Stegostoma tigrinum: one gene and its partner. The protein of the gene in region 1 interacts with the protein of each later gene in a pairwise test. Links are inferred from orthologs where the notes say so. Each region holds a gene or a part of one and is shown on either strand. Other genes may lie near its edges.

Evidence for each region.
Region 2: the proteins of tacc1 (region 1) and lsm7 interact in binary tests that used the Homo sapiens proteins (3 or more experiments, as listed by UniProt). The link is inferred for Stegostoma tigrinum from reciprocal best matches to the Homo sapiens genes TACC1 and LSM7.

The regions. Positions count from the first base shown.
Region 1 is NC_081393.1:12,116,105-12,126,397, reverse strand, and holds the start of tacc1 (transforming acidic coiled-coil-containing protein 1), read right to left. Parts: upstream 3,985-10,293; 5' UTR 3,755-3,984; coding exon 3,381-3,754; intron 1-3,380. UniProt on the Homo sapiens protein: Involved in transcription regulation induced by nuclear receptors, including in T3 thyroid hormone and all-trans retinoic acid pathways. Might promote the nuclear localization of the receptors.
Region 2 is NC_081383.1:26,724,655-26,734,541, forward strand, and holds the start of lsm7 (U6 snRNA-associated Sm-like protein LSm7), read left to right. Parts: upstream 1-5,505; 5' UTR 5,506-5,572; coding exon 5,573-5,581; intron 5,582-5,932; coding exon 5,933-6,023; intron 6,024-6,756; coding exon 6,757-6,828; intron 6,829-9,714; coding exon 9,715-9,857; 3' UTR 9,858-9,887. Other genes in the region: sppl2 (signal peptide peptidase-like 2), read right to left, coding at 4,160-4,279, 5,243-5,290. UniProt on the Homo sapiens protein: Plays a role in pre-mRNA splicing as component of the U4/U6-U5 tri-snRNP complex that is involved in spliceosome assembly, and as component of the precatalytic spliceosome (spliceosome B complex).

The DNA of each region.
Region 1 (10,293 bases):
AGTAAACGCCACTCTGCTCCTGTACGTGGATCTCACTGACTGTGAGTTCCCTGATTGGGATTGCTAACCTGGGCTAATCAGGGACCCCTGGCTAATAGATATAAACAAGAGTGTCAGGGATTCTCCTCACTCTAGGGACTGGCTCTGGGCAGGCTGGTCAGAGTCCATGTACGATGCGCACGTAAATAAAGGGATGTTTGGTGACAGGACACCAGCCTCTGTGGAGTTATTTTAGCTCCCTTACCTACCCTCTAGTAGCCTTTCACTACACTCCCCCACATTGCAAACTTCTCTATGTGCACCACCGTCTAACATTTGATAGCCCCACCCCTGTTTGTGCCTTTCCCCCACCTACAGCCCTTCCTTTCCTCCCTCCCATACCCTTTTGTGCCTCAATGATTTCCTGGCATCTCTTCCACAGCAAAAACATCACACCCAGCGCAGAATACAACTGAGGTCACATGCAACAGACCATGAAGACATTGGAATGCCTTTGTGAGTACATTGTGTTTCAGCACAGTTTGGGAAGCTGAGAAACAACATGCCCAAATGTAGAGCGGCTGGATGACAAGATCCAACTGTAGGAAGGGTCGATGTTGTATTTGCTTTGTGACATAGACCAGAGTCTTGGGGGTCCCAAACAGCACAGCTGAGGAACGGTGGATTGAGTTCCAAATGACTGCTTGTGTCTCACCCCCTTGTCTGCCAATACACTGAAGAAGGGTCTCGACCCGAAACGTCAGCCTTCCTGCTCCTCTGATGCTGCTTGGCCTGCTGTGTTCATCCAGCTCTACACCTTGTTATAACAAATTTCAAATCCACTTTCTTACCATTTCCCCAAAACTCTCGATTCCCTTACTGATTAAAAACCTATCTCAGCCTTGAATAGACTTAATGACCCAGCCTCAACAAGACCTCTGCGGTACCAAATTCCACAGATTCACTAGCCTCCGAGAGAAAAAAATTCCTCCTCATTCTCTAAAATAGATGACCCCCTTAATCCGAGATGGTGTCCTCTGGTCCTCCACTTCCCCGTGCAGAGAAACAACTGTTACACATCAATTCTGTCAAGCCCCCAAGAATCTTTTTGAAGGTTTCATTAGCTGTCTCTCATTCTTCTAAACTCCAATGAGTACAAGCCCAACCTATTCAACCTGGCCTCATACATCAGTCCGTCCATACCTGGGATCAGCCTGGTGAACCTTCTCTGGACTACCTGAATGCCAGTATATTTTTTCTTAAATAAAGGGATCAAAGCTGTTCACAGTATTCTGAAATGTGGTGTCCTGAGACCCTTGTCTAGTTTTAGCAAAGACTTCCCCATATTTATACATCATTCCCTTTGAAATGACAACGAATATTGTCCTTCACTGTTACCTGCTGAAGTTGTATCCATAAGGAATCCAAAATCCTTCTGCAGTCTTTATCCATTTAAATAACATTCAGCTCTTCTGTTCTTCCTACCAAGGGACGTATCCTCACATTTTCCCGCATTGTATTCCACCTGCCAAGTTTTTTGCTGACTCATGTTTTCCAGGGTATCTCGATGCAGCAATGTTAGATAGCATCACTTCTCATTACATTAAAATTGAGATGCAGGAACATAATATGAAAACTCCAACATATATTAATCCAACTCACAAAACGAAACAAATATTACATTAACAGGTGACTTCCATGTCTGGGCTAACCTTCAGCCATTCAGTTACAAAGAGTTAATCAGCGTGTCAAGCTTCAAGTGGCCCAAGTTAAAACGGAGTCAAGACCTTTATACCCTCAGGCCACATGCTGTGACATAGTCATGATATCCTGAGCTTGTCTCTGATCAAAATACTGACCAAGAGACATACACAACAGTCTCCATCCTCCCTGATTGAAACACCTTCATCCCGTCCCTTTCCCACTATGTAAATAATCAATGAGTCATCCAGCCCATCAATACAGACAAGATAGATCAACACTTGCTCGTTTTAGGGCTAAGCTCACTTGATGGAGCCTGGAACTGTACAATGAGCAGAGCTGCTGTTGCACAAGTTGCGGTGCAGGTGAAAACATGTTTGGATTGCATCTTGCACATTGTCCTGAAAGCAAACAGTTGGATTCATTTTCCCCTGAGATATTACCTTGTTCTTCAGTTCCCCACACAGCCACCATGCCTGACAAAGGGCAAAGTGCACACTGACTGTTCAACCGACCATTTTCAAAGTAATTTTATGAACAGAGCATCTACGACAGTCATGACATACATCTCTTTGCAAATTCACTCCCTTTGTCGAATAGCAGGCACTTCACTTGGAAACTGACAAAGCAAATAAGAACGCTGAGAGAGGAGGTGCATAACATTAATAGAGAGCTGCCACTCTTGTTATGGATGCTGGGATAGGTTTACCTCCATCCAGAGTGTTCATTTTCCATCAAAACTGTGGGATTGCCATGGACTTGGGAGCAGACTGGGTCAGGTGATTTTGAGGCCTTGTGAAAAGCTCCGGCTGTTGATTGGATCTGGTCACCCGGTTCTTTCCCCCTGAGGTTAATATCCCTGGCAGGCCACATGACCACAAAGATCCCTCAATATTCTCCACTCCGCAGGGTAAAAGCTCAGTCAAAATGTACTTCTCAAAGCAAGAGTTAACAAGAGGAGATAAAAGGGTTAAAGGAACAGCAGTAACACTGCAGCAAGTCTGTTGTGGATTTACATTTTCTATGCTAGTGCTTGAAGTTTATTATCAATTATGAACACTGATATAACCCAGCTGGGTGCAGTTGAACTTGGAAGAGGTGTCTGTAAAGGCACATGAGCAGTTTCTTCTTGTAAACAAGAGTGTGACTGAAACTCATGACATTGCAGTGCACCACAAGCTGGATCAGTCAATCAAGACCAGCCAACATGGGTCTGGATCAGAATTCTCATCTTTCCAAAATAGAATTCCTTCAGTGAATGGATGGGGAAACTGGGGCACTTCCTCCCTGTAATGAAATGAATGTCAAACAGACTAGGCCTAGTGGCTCATGAATAATTTTTAGAAAAGAAATGAAAACAGAAGCGAGACAATGATAGAATCTTTTTGAACAGACAAGCTGACCTTGATTTGCTGGTTCCCACTGATACCACTCACAGCTCACCCTGTTCTCAGATCTTTGCAACATGGATAAATTCTCAAAATAAGGGATGGTACAAGAAAAAAACACATTGACCAGAACATACATTAGATGAACACCACATATGATACACTTGCATTTAAAACGGAATTAGCCACTCAAGCCTGTATGCAGTGGCTGAGCAAATGACACTTAAAAAGAAAGAGATAGACTAAAATCGAATTGGTAACTAGTTACTCCCGCATTGAAACTGAAAGATGGTTAGATGATGGGTGACTTACATGCTGGCCTTCTCTTTTAAAGGTCTCACCCCTCCCTTGAGCTGGTGCTGGGACTGAGACCCTCCCATTCTGAATTTTTTGTCAGTGGTCGCAGAGATGCCCGTGATGCTGAAAGAGGCTCTCACAGAGTCACACACACACAGACACAGAGAGCCTTCAATGCTGCAGTGGGACTGCAGCTCCTGCATTGACGGCTTGAGTTCTTCGGGCTGCTGAACTCTTGCCAGATCCTGAACCAATCGCATGCCAGCAACGTCGCCTTGAGCCAAGGCTGCACATAACTGGACAGTGCAAAAAAACACAATAGACTCAAATAAAGTCACTGGAGAGGAATTCGAGAGTCCCTGGGACTTGGCTGCGGGGTAAAAACTCATCCAGATTACAGCGGGATGTGTGTTCGAAGTTGCTGTCTGAAAGTAGTAAAGGCTTTCTCTCCGTGATTACATTCCGGGGCACACGAGGCTTCTCCCAAAGAATGCCTGACCACAAGGGTGCGTTTCTTTATCTCTCTCGCGTTGATGTTTCTCTACCTCAGGAACAAAATGGGCTGTCCCAGCCAGCACATTCCAAGCCCGCAAACAGACAGCACTTTGCCCTGCAGGACGAGTGCGTGTGCAGCAAGCTCAGTGAGCAAGGGCAGAATTAGTATATAGATTCACCAAATGCCCCCGTGCAATTCCGTCACTGAGTTCGAGCTGCTGCTTTCTGTTCAAGGAAGGAAGTTACACATTCTTTGCAGATTTCCAGCCCAACCCTGGCTACTCTCATGCTGCAGAACAGCAGGTTAAAAACAAATGATGTTAGCATTTTTTGCTAAGGCAAAGAGTGAGTTGTATTACGAGATAGGTATTGGCCTAAGCGTTGCAATGTCCATTTTGCTGGTACTAAAGCGATTATCTGCTGACAGATTTATCTGCGTCCAGTCTGAAAAGGGCTTGCTGGACATCTAATTTAGGATTAAACACTGACATCTTTCTGCTGGATGAATGAAACAACCTGTTGTAAGTCTACCGCATCCCAAAACCAGCCCAGATAATAAAATGTGAGGCTGGATGAACACAGCAGGCCAAGCAGCATCTCAGGAGCACAAAAGCTGACGTTTCGGGCCTAGACCCTTCATCAGAGAGGGGGATGGGGGGAGGGAACTGGAATAAATAGGGAGAGAGGGGGAGGCGGACCGAAGATGGAGAGTAAAGAAGATAGGTGGAGAGGGTGTAGGTGGGGAGGTAGGGAGGGGATAGGTCAGTCCTGCTTGGCCTGCTGTGTTCATCCAGCCTCACATTTTATTATCTCGGAATCTCCAGCATCTGCAGTTCCCATTATCTCCAAAACCAGCCCAGTTCGTCCCCTCCCCCCACTGCATCACACAACCAGCCCAGCTCTTCCCCTCCCCCTACTGCATCCCAAAACCAGTCCAGCCTGTCTCTGCCTCCCTAACCTGTTCTTCCTCTCACCCATCCCTTTGTCCCACCTCAAGCCGCGCCTCCATCTCCTACCTACTAACCTCATCCCACCTCCTTGACCTGTCCGTCTTCCCTGGACTGACCTATCCCCTCCCTACCTCCCCACCTATACTCTCCTCTCCACCTATCTTCTTTTCTCTCCATCTTCAGTCCGCCTCCCCCTCTTTATTTATTCCAGTTCCTTCTCCCCATCCCCCTCTCTGATGAAGGGTCTAGGCCCGAAACGTAAGCTTTTGTGCTCCTGAGATGCTGCTTGGCCTGCTGTGTTCATCCAGCTTCACACTTTGTTATCTTGGATTCTCCAGCATCTGCAGTTCCCATTATCTCTGTTGTAAGTCTCCATTGTCAGAAGCGGATGAGCACCCATAAGTGGGTAGAAATTGGCTAAATGCTTTGTAGAGTTGAGAGCACTTTCCTCCATTTGAGTTGAGGTTGGAAGTTTATTCCCCTGACAACAAAGTGCAAGGGAAACATTTTGGCTCAGAGATGGTCTGGTATTTGCATTCAAGCAGTCGCATTAAGTCATTAACCTGGTCACCAGAAACCAGCACCTCCACATGAGAATGCTTCCTTGGATTGTGGCAGTTTGGCAATGTTGTGGCTTGAAGAGGTGTGTTTTGTCTTGATTCCTTTTAGACTGAGATTGGGCGGCAGGCACCAGGTAGTCTATGAGAAGATAAACTTGTGAAGCCATGGATTTTTTTTAATCAGTTGGAACAATAGAAGTGGCCTGAAAGGGTGGGGTCAGGTTCCCATCCACAGAACCAGGGATTTTAGTTTTAGCTTTCAGCAGTTGTTGTTGGAATCTGGAAGAAATTAAAGGCATTTTTACCTTCTCTCGGTTACAGCCAAATTCTAGAGGTTCTCTGTCTGTTAATAGAGTTGTGTATGAGACAATCTACGTTCTGAATTTGGATTTTGCCAAGGGTGTGTTTGTGGGATGTTGCAATATTGGACAAGGTAATTGTTACTGTATCTATTATTGTGTTAAGTTTTCCAATAGAGTTAAGTTATTCCAATGACAAAAATAGAAATTGCTGGAAAAGCTCAGCCAGTCTGGCAACATTTGTGGAGAGATTTCAGAGTTAACATTTTGGGTCGAGTGATCCTGCCTCAGAACTGAAGGGAAGGCTCACTCAACCCGAAACGTGAACTGTGTTTTCTCTTAATAGATGCTGTCAGACCTGCTGAGCTTTTACAGCAATTTCTATGTTTGTCTCTGACTTTTAACTTCTGTAGTTCTTTCAGTTTTTATTTTGTAAGTTATTCCAATTCCTTTATTCTTTTGTTGTGTTTTAATGATAGGAGATGAATAAAGTGTATTTTGCTTTAAATGAGAAGATAAATCAGAAGTAGTCTGAACAAACAAATTGCATCTCGAACACAACACCTTACATTTAGCTTCAAAATCAGAAAAGGTTTGGGTCTAGTCCATCTTCTGAGGGGTTTTGGTGTGGTCCATAACAGGAAAGCTCGGTCTGCAGACTCAGCTCAGTCATATGACAAGTTGTTCAGGTACTTTTTTTTGGCAGACACTTTACTTCCGAGCTGCCACCCATTAGCTGGCACCTTCACATGGCTGGCACTGGGAACTGTGTGCTAAAGGACAGTTGCTTTGCACGTCATACATGCAGGTTGGGAGGATTAAATCAATAATCAGCAGAAAGTCTGTGTTTTCAGTGTGTGAGCATCCAGGAAAAGGTGACAGATGTGATGCCATCTGTTCAGAATGAAAAAGCCAAAAACCAACCCACGGTAACTTCAGGTGCAGCATATGAGGTTAACAGCCACCTGGTAACTGCGTCATCAGATCTCATGGGCCCCTGGTACCTGGCAAGGAGAAGATTGCAGTTCAGTTCAGCTCTACCGTGCTTCTGTCTGTGTGGACAATATTTAACACTTGTTTAATTTGGACAAGCTTGGAGACCAGCCCAGCCATGCATATCTCCCAGAACCTGCTTGTGACATTCCTACATCAGGCAGACTGATCCTGTTTCGTGCACACAAAAGGCCAATTGATTCATGTGTTACTGTACCATCACACCCAATGTGTGCTTGTGTATTCACTATCAGTCTCTGCCACTGTTTTTCTCCTGTCTCTCAGATGATGGGCAATATGTTGCACTTAGAATTGGATTCACCAATTATATATACACATCCGTACAACACACACAGGTTATGTGTGTATAAAAACATTCTTCCATGGCAGTGCCCAGATCAATCAGAAGTGAACTGACAACTAATCAAAACCTTTTTCACACATAGTACAAATTGTTGTTCCCTTTCAAATTTGAAATTCTTGCAATTCTGTCCAGATGAGTGCCAAACAAGAGAAACTTAAACAACATCCCTCTATTTTCAGCAAAGGTCAACTCTTTCTAAAACAAAATTCAGATGGTTGACTCATGAATATAACTTAAAAAGGCTTATAACAACAACATCATCTTGCATATATGTCATGCCTTTAAAACAGTAAGGTGTCCCAAATTGTTTCACAGCTGCATCAGCAAACGAAATTTGACACCAGTCACAAAATGATTCAGATGGAAGACGTCGGTTTTAAGGAAGGTATTAAAAGATGAGAGGCAGGTGGAGAGAGAAATGAGGGTACAAGTTTCAACATTTTACAAGCAGGAGCTGAAGGAATGCTCACCATTGCGTGTGTCATTGAATCTTGCAATACTTAAGAGGCCAGAGTTAGAAGCCAGCAGATATCTTGAGGAGCTGTGGGTTGGTGGAGGTTAAAGCGATCCAGAGAGATGGAGGGATGTGAAAACCCAGGATGAAAGCACAAAATATTTTTCTTTGTTGCCGGTGCTCCGAGGATACTTGATCGTTAAGCTTATTGCATTATTGTAGGCATTGAAACTTTCTAGACTAGATTCCCTACAGTGTGGAAACAGGCCCTTCTGCCCCACAAGTCCACACTGCCCCTTGAAGCATCCCACTCAGACTCATCCTCCTATAACCCACACACCCCTGAACACTATGGGCAATTTATCATAGTCGATCTACCTAGCCTGCACATCTTTTGGACTGTGGGAGAAAACCGGAGCATCCAGAGGAAACCCACGCAGACACAGGGAGAATGTGCAAACTCCACACAGACAGTCGCCCGAGGCTGGAATCGAACCTGGGTCCCTGGCGCTGTGAGGCTGCAATGCTAACCACTGAGCCACCGTGCCGCCCCGTGTCTCAGTCCTAAAATGGTAACAGGGTTTCACTCCCTGAGGGAAGCCCAAACATATAAGTGGATCTGTCGCTGTTGTTGCAAGTCCAGCATTGACAGTGGGAAATGTCGTCATCACTCAACTCTGCACCAAGACTGTCCATTCTTATGACTGGCTGACAGAACAAGATGTACTGATAATCCATGAAAGATAAACATTCCCTTTTCATTATTTACTTCAGCGTTAACAATTGTTCAAAATAATGGAAAGAGGAAGGAAGTGAAACAAGACACACTTACGAGAATGAGTTCAGGTGATCAGAGAGCAGGAAGAGGAAGTCTTTGTACCATAAAGGCAGAGGGGGGTTCACTGTTTTGTGACAAGTGCTGACTTTGGCACTGTTACCAGTCCTTCCTTTCAAACAGCCTTGTTATATGCTATGCTAATTGTTGTATGAAGTGTCATGAGAACTAAAGGAGGGATTTGCATTTATATTGAGCTTTTGTTAGCTTTAAACCACCATTTTCAACATTCAGTCCTGTCACCACAGATGCACTGCAGAAATTCAACACGGCTCCATCAACAGCATGACAGCATTCCTAAAATAGGGAAAAACTGAGAGGGAGAAGTGGGGGAGCGAATAAAAGCAACAGCTTATCAGAGAAAAGGTACTTGGAAAATAAAAGGGTCTGAAGATCAATACATCATCTCGAAATGATGGTTTGCATCCTATGAACTGAAACAAAATAGCAACAGAGATAATGGATTCAGTTTTAGTAATCTTCCAAGAATCCTCATGTTCTGGTAAAGTTCCAGAGGTTGGAAGATTGCCAACATAATACACTTGTTCAAAACATGGAGGAAGACAAAAAGAAAAGTTAACTATAGACCTGTTAGCTCAATATCTATCACTGGGGAAATGTTAGATTAACATAACAGAAAAAACAGAGCAGCACTTAGAAACAGGTAACAAGCAGAGTCAGGATTTGAACATGACATTCAGATCATTCCTGACTAATTTCCAGGAAATATTTGACAAGGTGATAATCATGTGACAACAACATGGCTTGATTTCACAAAGGAACTTCTGATAAGATGGTGGGATGGGAGGACGCTTTGCATGTCTTTATCTCTTCCTCGTTTCTCTCCCCATGCTCAGCCTCAGACTTACAGGCCCGGCCTCTGTCTCCCAGTCTCCAATGTAAGATTGAAGGTCAGCGCCTCAAAGCAGGGACACACTGACCGACAGCCCGGGGCAGGGACACACTGACCAACAGCCTGGGGCAGGGACACAGTGACCGACAGAATGGGGCAGGGACACAGTGACCGACAGAATGGGGCAGGGACACACTGACCAACAGCCCGGGGCAGGGACACACTGACCAACAGCCTGGGGCAGGGACACACTGACCGACAGAATGGGGCAGGGACACAGTGACCGACAGCCCGGGGCAGGGACACACTGACCGACAGCCCGGGGCAGGGACACACTGACCGACAGAATGGGGCAGGGACACAGTGACCGACAGAATGAGGCAGGGACACAGTGACCGACAGAATGGGGCAGGGACACACTGACCGACAGCCCGGGGCAGGGACACAGTGACCGACAGAATGGGGCAGGGACACACTGACCGACAGCCCGGGGCAGGGACACACTGACCGACAGAATGGGGCAGGGACACACTGACCGACAGCCTGGAGCAGGGACACACTGACCGACAGCCCGGGGCAGGGACACAGTGACCGACAGCCCGGGGCAGGGACACACTGACCGACAGAATGGGGCAGGGACACAGTGACCGACAGCCTGGGGCAGGGACACACTGACCAACAGCCTGGAGCAGGGACACACTGACCGACAGCCCGGGGCAGGGACACACTGACCGACAGCCCGGGGCAGGGACACAGTGACCGACAGCCCGGGGCAGGGACACAGTGACCGACAGAATGGGGCAGGGACACAGTGACGGACAGCCTGGGGCAGGGACACACTGACCGACAGCCCGGGGCAGGGACACAGTGACCGACAGCCCGGGGCAGGGACACAGTGACCGACAGAATGGGGCAGGGACACAGTGACCGACAGAATGGGGCAGGGACACACTGACCGACAGAATGGGGCAGGGACACACTGACCGACAGAATGGGGCAGGGACACAGTGACCGACAGCCCGGGGCAGGGACACAGTGACCGACAGCCCGGGGCAGGGACACAGTGACCGACAGAATGGGGCAGGGACACAGTGACCGACAGAATGGGGCAGGGACACACTGACC
Region 2 (9,887 bases), on another chromosome or scaffold:
TGCCACCCAGGTTGATAGTGCTGTTAAGAAGGCTTATGGTGTGTTAGGTTTTATTGGTAGAGGGATTAAGTTCCGGAGCCGTGATGACATGCTGCAACTGTACAAAATGCTAGTGCGGCCTCACTCGGAATATTGCATGCGGTTCTGGTTGTCCCATTACAGGAAGGATGTGGAAGCATTGGAAAAGGTGCAGAGGAGATTTACCAGGATGTTGCCTGGTCTGGAGCGCAGGATCTATGAAGAAAGTGTGAGGGACTTGGGACTTTTCTCATTGGAGAGAAGAAGGCTAAGAGGGGATTTAATAGAGACATACAAGATGATCAGAGGATTAGATAGGGTGGACAGTGAGAGTCTTTTTCCAATGATGACGACGTCAGCTTGTACGAGGGGGCATAGCTACAAATTGAGGGGTGATAGATTTAAGACAGATGTCAGAGGCAGGTTCTTTACTCAGAGAGCGGTAAGGGCGTGGAATGCCCTGCCAGCCAATGTAGTTAACTCAGCCACATTAGGGGCATTTAAACAGTCCGTGGATAAGCATACGGATAATGATGGGATAGTGCAGGGGGATGGGCTTAGATTAGTTCACAGGTCGGCGCAACATCGCTGGCCAAAGGGCCTATTCTGCGCTGTCATGTTCTATGGTCTATGTTCCTTCATTTTGCTGACAGTGATGGCAAGATTGTTGTCTTTACACCAATGCCACTAAGCAATCAATCTCTTTCCTGCATTCTGTCTCGTTATTTGAGATCGGTATATATATGATGGTCATGTCGTCATCAAACTTTTAAATGGAGTTGAAGTGGAATTTAGCCACACGGTTGAGAGTGTATAAGAAAGTAATAAGTTTCCACGAACAACTTAATTTTGGATATCACTGCCACCAAGTTTGATCCTGACTCTACACAAGATCCGGCCTACTGCACTTCTGCTCAGAGGTTCACTTAATAACAATAGAGGATAACAATGGCTCATCTTCACCAAATGCTATGGTGAATTTAACACCTCAACTGCTGCTCCCACGGTGATCAGGTGATTCCACAATTTGAAATCTGATACTTTTCTGTCTGATTTATCAGACTTTGTGTCTGCGATCTCTTATTGCAATGAAACTAAATGTCACTAAACGTCAGGAACACTGAAGCCACAGTCTTTGATCCCCACTACAAACACCATGCTAAATCATTATTTCATTCCCTTTTCCTTGTTCCGCCAAAGTCAAGCCAGGTTTGGGTATTGTATTAGGCTCCAGAATGAACTTCCAACCACATATTCACTCTATCGCCAAGACTATCTATTGCTACCTCAGCTACTTCACCTGAATTTAATGCAGATTTAGTCATCTCCTGCTGGAGTTCTCAACTATGTCTTTGTTACTGCTAGACTTCACACCTGACCTCCCATCTGCCACTGGTCATAAATTTATGCTCATCCAGAACTCTGTCACTGTATCTAAACTTACACCAAGTTCCATTCACCTACTGCCATGCTGCTTGTTTCCCTGTGTGTCAACAGTAGGAAAAATTCCTGTCCTTATTTTCAAATCCCTCTATCCTCATGCCTCTACCTATCCCTGTAATCTCTACTGGTCCCTACAAGGAATAAAGTGAATGAACTGTAAGTATATGTCACTTCTGGTGGTATGGCATGGTTGTCATCACTGAATCATGGCTGCAAGATAGTCTGGGCTAGGAATTATAGCCTGGGCATGTAATATCTACAGAAGTGATTGGCAAGATGCTAGAGGACAAGAAGTGTCTTAAAAAATAAAATAAAATATATATAAAATAGTGCAAACACTCAAAAAAATATAATGAGAGATAAGCAAGCAGTGGAGACTTTATGACTGACAAATAGAAAAGAGTTCATGACTGAAGTATAAGTTGTGTCTTGGCCTTCTGGTAGCATCTGCAATACAGTAGGCTGTACAAAGGCTCAGACATAAAAATAGAGTGAAGGCATAGTAGCTTTCATTTTCACCTAGACTGGAATAAGTAGATTAGCATGTCAGAATTGTAGTGAATCTCATAACTGCATCTACAGAAATACATCTTTGAGAAAACACTGCGCAATATTAGATTCAATAAAACCAGACTTTAGTTAACAATCTAACAGCATACAAACATTTATCTAATGGCAATCAGAACGTGATTGAGTTCAACACAGTGTTCAAAGTGGAGAAATGAGAAATTGCTATTCAGATTCTAGATTTATACGACAGTCTTCAAAGGGATGAGTTTTAGTTATAAGTCAACCATAATAAACAAAACAAATCAAATCTGCTTTTTGTCAAATGTTTTAAGAGGTGGCAAGTCAGAAAACCAAGCAGCTGAATTTTCTGATGAAAGATAGTCAGCATTGTGGATGGAAGGTTAATTGTTGAGACCTTCCTCTATTTAATATTATACTTTGAAAATGTGAGGTGAGAGCTGAAGGTCGGCTTTGGGCTGTGAGCAGCAGCCTTCTTTGTAAAGCAAAACAATAATTGACTGATGCTTGTATACAAGGCCTGGCCTAAAAGTTAATTGCAGGTTGATTCTTGTTAAAAAGTGCTCTACAGATGCTTGCACTCCAGAGAAGCATTACGCTCAAACGAATGCCACATGTTTGCCTAGTAACAGAAGCCTCACAGACAACGAGAAACCAAAGTTCAAACTGGTTTTGAACTGTATTTAAGTCGGAAGGATTTTGGCTACCACAGCTACAGGATGATTAGATTGCTGCTTGAATGTTGTCTCATACTGAAAGTTCAGGCAATAGAGTTTCAGTTATCAGAACAAAAATAAATATTCCTCAAAGCTTACTGAAGGCTATGCGCATACATCAGCATCTTCAGAAATCAAGCAAGATACAATCTCATGAGCCCGTAATGTTCTAATTGTGGAGGCTGCTTAAATGAACTGGCCAGTTACAACTCTTTTTTTTTTCTTTTTTGATTTATCTCTTAACTGTGTCTTTTTATCTTTGAGTGAGGGGCTGGAATCAAAGAAAATTAGTCTTAAAACACAGATATTAATTGGATTACATTGTGGCTTAAATTTGCTCTGATAAAGCTACTGTATTATTTAAAAATTGTGGCATGTTTTGTTTAAGCTTTAAACATGGTGTCTCAGTGTTGTGATTATTCAAAACATCTGGTTAGAAACCATTGGGGTCTACTGAGGTTCAGTGACTATTTTAATTTTCTGTGTTGTGGATACAGGGATAGGGATGATTTGGCTGGGTGTCTCTGTGTCATAACATAATATTACATAGAAATCAACAGATGAAGTGAATGGGTTAAACTGTGTCAAACGCATTTCAACTTGGCAAGCAAATATGAAACCATCCACCATGGGCCAAAACAAAAAGAGGTCAAGGAACAGTACTTACTGAAATACTAAAAAGCTAGAGATAGTACAGATCAAAATAGCTTTGGGAAATTCAGGTCCATAAATTATTGAAGTTTCACGAACAGGTACAGAACATAATCATAAAGTTGAATGGAATGCTGGCTTCTGTATGCAGAGGATTAAAATGCAAATTGGCAGATGGAACACTTTTGCAACGAAAAGGACAAATCCTTCTCCTATCTAGCTTCATACTGAAAACTACTGGGCACAAGTAGCTCGGATGCTTATCTTCCCCACAGAAACATGCTAAATGGAAGATCAGGCTAAATTAGATACGTCACCAGCCAGGTGACAGAGGAGACACACCGAAAGAACAAGCCTGCTTCCTGGTGGGATCCAACCAGTACATTTGAAACATTACAATATGAGAAGACAGAACGACAAGTTAACTAACATGTACGTACATTTTATATTTAATTTTGATTTTTTTTAAAAACCAAAGAACTCGAAATATTTTAAATTTTCACTAACATGATTTTGTTCCTTACAATTCACCTATGCCCAATCTGATGTTGCAGACTTATCTTCAACTGCACTTGCTCTAGGTCAAGAAATTAAGTAGTGCAATTAGAGGCTTTACCTGCAGCTTTGGGGGTTGAGAAGTTACATTCCCTGTCCAGGGTCCCTCCTTGGGAGGATTTCAAAGGCATATGAACCCTCCTGGAATGAGAAGCCAGGCTGAGTTCCAGATATGCACGATGACTATTCATTCTCTAAATGAGCATTCCGCAATGGATTTGCCAAAACGTCCTGTGATATACACTTACCGCCTTACTGAGATCATGAGGTAAATAGGCCCAGTAGGGATTGAACTGGATGCAGTAATCTTTTGTATTTCCATGTTCCTTATCAGATAGGACGTGGACCATTCCATACTCAGTCACCACCTGCATATTTCAGGGTAAAGTGCATCAGCAAAGCAACTCCAGAATGTATAAACAATGCCAGCCCACGTATGTCTCAAACCCACAAATAACTCAGTTCCTGAATTAACGCACTACATTTTGCGCAAGATGACTAACTGCACAATTACGCTCTTCATTTCCATTTTGATCATTGTTAATGATTTAATTCACTGTCAACAATACTGAGATAAAAGTTTCCTTGATCCAAGAGAAGAGAATATTCTACCACAAATGACGCATTTGAACCATGCATTGGAATTAACAGCCGGTTCAAGGGACTGTTTTTTGAAGGCCAGTGATTGCAATGACACATACTCTGCCCCACTCAGTGATGCAGGGAGAGGAGTAAGGGGTTAGGACATGAAGAAAAGTGCCCCAAGGGGGGGAAACATGGGGACTGTTGGAGGGGAGAGAAAGGGTTTGCGAGGATTAGGATGACAGGGAGAATTCGGATAGTAGTTGGAGCCAATAGAGGATGGTCTATAGTTAAAGGGGAATGGGGGAATAGCAGAGAAGTGTGGGGGTGTTTGTGGGAGGATTGGGGAGATTGCGGGGGATTTGGGGAGATTGAGCAGTGAGAACAATTGAGGGGCAAGGGATGGGGGATAGCGGGGGATGCAGGGATTGCAGAGGAGAATGGGGGAATAGCAGGGTGTGTGGGGTTTTGCAGAGAGGATGGGGAGACTGCGGTGGGGTGTGGGGGAGTGGGGAGACTGCAGGGTTGGAGTATGGTGATGTTGTGGGGGACAGGATGGGGTGATTGGATGGTGAGGATTGTGAAGGAAGGTGTATGGGGAATAGTGGGGGGGGAGCAGATTGGGTAGAAAGGAAAGAGGGAGATGCAGAGCTGGCCTGGGGCTGAGGGTGACAGGTGTCTAGTCGGGTCCTGGGACTTGGGGGACGGGGAGAAGGAATGGGGTGCCGGCCCGGCCCCCGGGCTGATACCTGACTGAGCTGAAGGACGAACAGCAGCAGCCTCACTCCCAGCGCCATCTTTCGGATGAGGTTCGGACCCCTCCAGAGACCACAATGGTAGCGTCCACTCAGGGTCCGAACAATCCAAACACACAAAAATAGGGGGAGCCTATTTTGAGGAAAGCCGGCGGCGAACGGCCGATTAACTTCGGTTTTGACTGGAGACCCAGAAGCGGCCGGTGCCGAGGGGAGGGACCCCTGACGGTGAGGGGCGGGGCAATGGGGCGGAGACAGCCGGAACTCGGGTCGGCTGCCGAGGTTAAAGGTCATGGGGTTGTGGGGTTAGAGGTCGTGGCCGTGATGATGGCGGTGAGTGTGTGTGTGCGGTCTTTGCTGGTGGCTGAGTTTTAAAATCTCGGGGGTTGTGTTTGGGGAAAAGAAGGCCTGTTAATGGCCCACTGGAGCCTCCGGTTACATTTATTATCTAATTCTTTCCTTGGGCCTATGAAAGTGGAACACCGGTTTTGTTATAACCCCCCCCCCCCCCCCCCCAATTTGGCGGTTTGTTCGTGGCCGTGTCAGAATCTCTGAGTGGGACCAGGTCGATTTAGCTGTCACGGAAACCTTGCGGGCTATCGGAGGCTCGGGTACCGATCACGAGAAGCTCGGATTGCAAGAATCGGGTTCTAACTTTCTTTGTTTTTGTTTCTTTGAATTCAGGATAAGGAGAAGAAAAAGAAGGAGAGTATTCTCGACCTCTCCAAGTACATAGACAAAACAATCCGTGTGAAATTTCAAGGTGGACGAGAAGGTGCAGTTTTTTAAAATTTCGTCTATATATGTTACGTAAGGTTGACTTTTACCAGACTACAACAGCTGTAGTCTTTCCCCAACCAAAATAGGCAGGCTGTTTGGACAAACGTGGTTGAGTTTGGGAAAGGCTTAGGGGCTAGGAGCAGGTAGGTGGGACTGGTTTTAGTTTGGAATTGTAGTCCACATGGACTGCCTGGACCGAATGGTCTCTTTCTGTGATTGGGAAAGATAAAAGAACTGTGATACAAATTGTATCAAACCAATAAAAAGTCAGTATAAACCACATCTTATTCCTTTAGGAGTAGTGCTGTAAGTATTGTTTTACTACTTAGTTTAAGCTGGTCAGAGGCTCCTGTAAATTCTTCAATTTGGTTAAAAAGCTGCTGAGGTCAACTTCAAAATGACTAGAATCTCTAACAATAATCTTTCACCTTCAAGACAATGAATTGGGAAATGATGTAGATACTACACTTACTGAAGAATTGTTTTAGTTCTTTGCTGTTAAATTCATAAGGTAAAATGACTTCAACTGAGAATTTGAAGCTTTACTGTTTCAGAACAGTTTCATTGGTTGTTACTGAAGTCTGCTTTGGGAAAGTTTGGGTGTTGAAGGGGAAAACAGTAAAAGATCTTGTGTATTTTGAGGTAATGTATGTTTTGACTCTTGTATAGTGTCTGATGTTGTAGTTCACTTGAAATTTGGTGAAATGTGTTTGGTTTTTTTTTGACAGCTAGTGGGATTCTGAAAGGATTTGACCCACTCCTCAATCTTGTATTGGATGGAACAATAGAGTATGTGAGAGGTAAGCCCCAAAGATGTTCCTAGTTTTTATAACTTGATGGACAATCTATGAAACAAAAATTGTGAAGTGTATTCTAGACTACAAAAGTGTAGAGTTGGATGGACACAGCAGGATCCGAGGAGCAGGAAGGCTGACATTTTGGGCCCAGCATCTGCAGTTCCTACTATCTCTGTCTGTAAAGTGACTTCCAGTTTTTCTGATTTGAAAAACATTGTATGACTTTTGATTTTAGTTTTTTTTTGCATAGCTCCTCTTCTCTTTATCATCTTCCCTTCTAAACACTTTTGTATGCAGCTTAATTTTCAGCTGTATTTTCTACCTGCTAGTTACCATAAACACTTTTTTTTTCTGTTTTTTTTATCCAAAGAGCTCTGGATTTTTCTTTTGCTGTATTTTTGTGAGGAAATATACATTGTGCCAGAACCCTTTTTTTTTTGTTTTAATCTATCTTTTGGAAGGCATCTTATTGCACATGTAATCTTTCACTCTGCCCTTTTGATCCAGACTAACAAGAACAAGTCTGTTCTTGCCCCATTAAAGTCTGCTCTGTCTAATTATCCTTAGTTTGCTTTGTCTCTTGTTGCCACGGTCCTCCCAAATTTCATGATACAATGATCACTGTACCTTTTTTTAAAGGTTACCCTACTGATACTACTTCCTAAGAAGTAAGTCCAGCAGTGCTTTCTTTTTTAACTTGTTGCATTGATGTACTGCTGTTGGAAATTCTTTTAAATGCATTCCAAGAATGTATGTTTGTTTGCTTTTCTCTTTTTCCTAACTACCACTATTCCAACTTCAATTGGAGTAATTGAAATCTCCCACATACTCTTTGCTTGCATTATTCTGTAATTTCCTTACTGATTTGTTCCTCTACATCCCTATTACTAACTGGTGGCCTGTAAACTACACCCAGCAATATAATGGACTCCCCTTGTACCTTTTGCTCCAGCCAAGTTGATTCTGTCCTTGAAGCCTTTTTTTTCCTCCCAAGCAGCTGTCCTTCACCAAGATTACCACTGCGTTGCTTTCTTGCTTTACCCTCTCCCTGTAACTAGGAATGTTTAGTACTTAGTTCAGCCTTTCCTTTGCCCAGCCTGTTATTGCCACAGTATTATAACTCAATGTGGCGATCTGTACTTGTAACTTGTCAATCCTGTTTACTTCCATTCATATGCACAGTTGTAATTTCTCCCTTTAATCCAGTTATTAATTTGTTCTACACTCTAATCTTTTAATGAGCTTTCTAAATTCTTACTACAGGACTACATCACCACTCATTTCTACATAAATACCAATGTAGACCATGATCTGCAGTTGAACGCATCCCTCGGGAAGAATGTCCTGTAATTACTTTGTGACATTCTTGATTCTAACACCTGTGAAAGAAAATGCATTGCTGGCATCACATCTTTGACTGCAGAAATGTCTCTAGTCTCCTAACAAATCAGTTCCTTTTTAACTGCTGCTTTCCCCCTTTTCCTTCCTTCCCTCCCAAATAGCTGGCTCACTCATGTTGCCATAGGCTTAGCATCTCCTCTGAAAACCTTTACCATTATCAGAATGAAAACTGATTCTTGAGTTAAACCCCTGCATTGTCTTCCTGGTTCTCTTGGACTGTCTGATAGTCACATGTTCCTGATCTGCCTGCATGCCTCTAACCTACACTTATACTGGCTCTGTGAACATGCTGTCTGTAACTTGCAGCCTCGTGGATGCAATGCAGTTGGTCTGCTTTCTGTAACTAGTGGTACTTGTATATATTCTTCCAGGTCATTTTCAGGATTCTAGATGAATAAACTCGCAGTTCTCCCACAGGTATTGCTTTTCTTAAACTTGGTGCTTTCATACAGCTTCTCAGCTCCTTGTCCCCAAGTCTTTGTAAGTGATCAGAAGTGTCAGACATTAAGTAAAGTGTCAAAAATTGAAGGGATCTCCTGTAATCCAATTAATTGAGGTAGAGGTGTAATTAGAATTTTTTAAAAATTCTGTTTGGAGACAAACCAAGCAGCTGGAATAACATGGGTATAAAAGTCACACACCAAGGGTCTAACCAAAGTAACAAGTAATCCAAAACTCTACAAATTAAGGTAGAGGGAGATCCTCAGAAGTTATAAAGGTGATCGTGTCCAAAAGGGCAAGTAAGGAAGATTTTTTTTTACAGTTGCAGAGCAGTTATGGGTTTGCATGTAGTGTGACATGAAGCCAAGATCACAGTTGAGGGTGCCTTCATGGGCATGGAACTTGGCCATCAGTTTCTGCTTTGCCATTCAGTGTAAATCCAGAATTGATTATTCCAGCATACATGTCACCTGCCTTCCATGTTATGACATCCATAAACTTGCCATCCAAAATTCTACTGCCTGTTGTCACTGACACCTAGTCCAATCTGGGCAGTAGCATGGTGTTATTTGAAAATTTGGCTGCCACTTCAATTTCTCTATTCTCCCTATCATGATGATCTCTCGGTCCTTACAACCCTTTCATCAGTATTATAATTCTGGCCTCTTTGAGCTATGTTTGTTTTTGTTGTTGCAACACTAAGGGGCTATACCTACAGGGGCAAAGCCTTCAGGTCTAGAAATCACTCCCTAAATCTACATTTGTCTTGTTTCTCTTTCCTCACTACTCTTTTATTTTAAAACCTGCTTTGGTCAGCTGCCACATGTTTCCTTTATGTGATTTAGTGTCAGGTTTTCCTGTATACCATGTTGGAGCATGATTGAATTCAATGTTTAATTCAATACTTTTTAAAGTCCTTCAAATGAAGTGTTATGTAATTTCTAATTAAAACACGTTTACATCTCATCACATTTAGCATGTTCCACATAGTTTTACACTTTATGTAACTGGAGTCTAGCTTTTTAAACTTAACATTACTAATTTCAGATCCAGATGACCAATACAAATTGACTGAAGACACACGACAGCTTGGCTTGGTTGTATGCAGAGGAACATCAGTTGTTCTGATTTGCCCACAGGATGGGATGGAGGCAATTCCAAACCCTTTCATACAACAACAGGATGGTTAATTTGAAATGTATCATCGCCATATCTCAGGA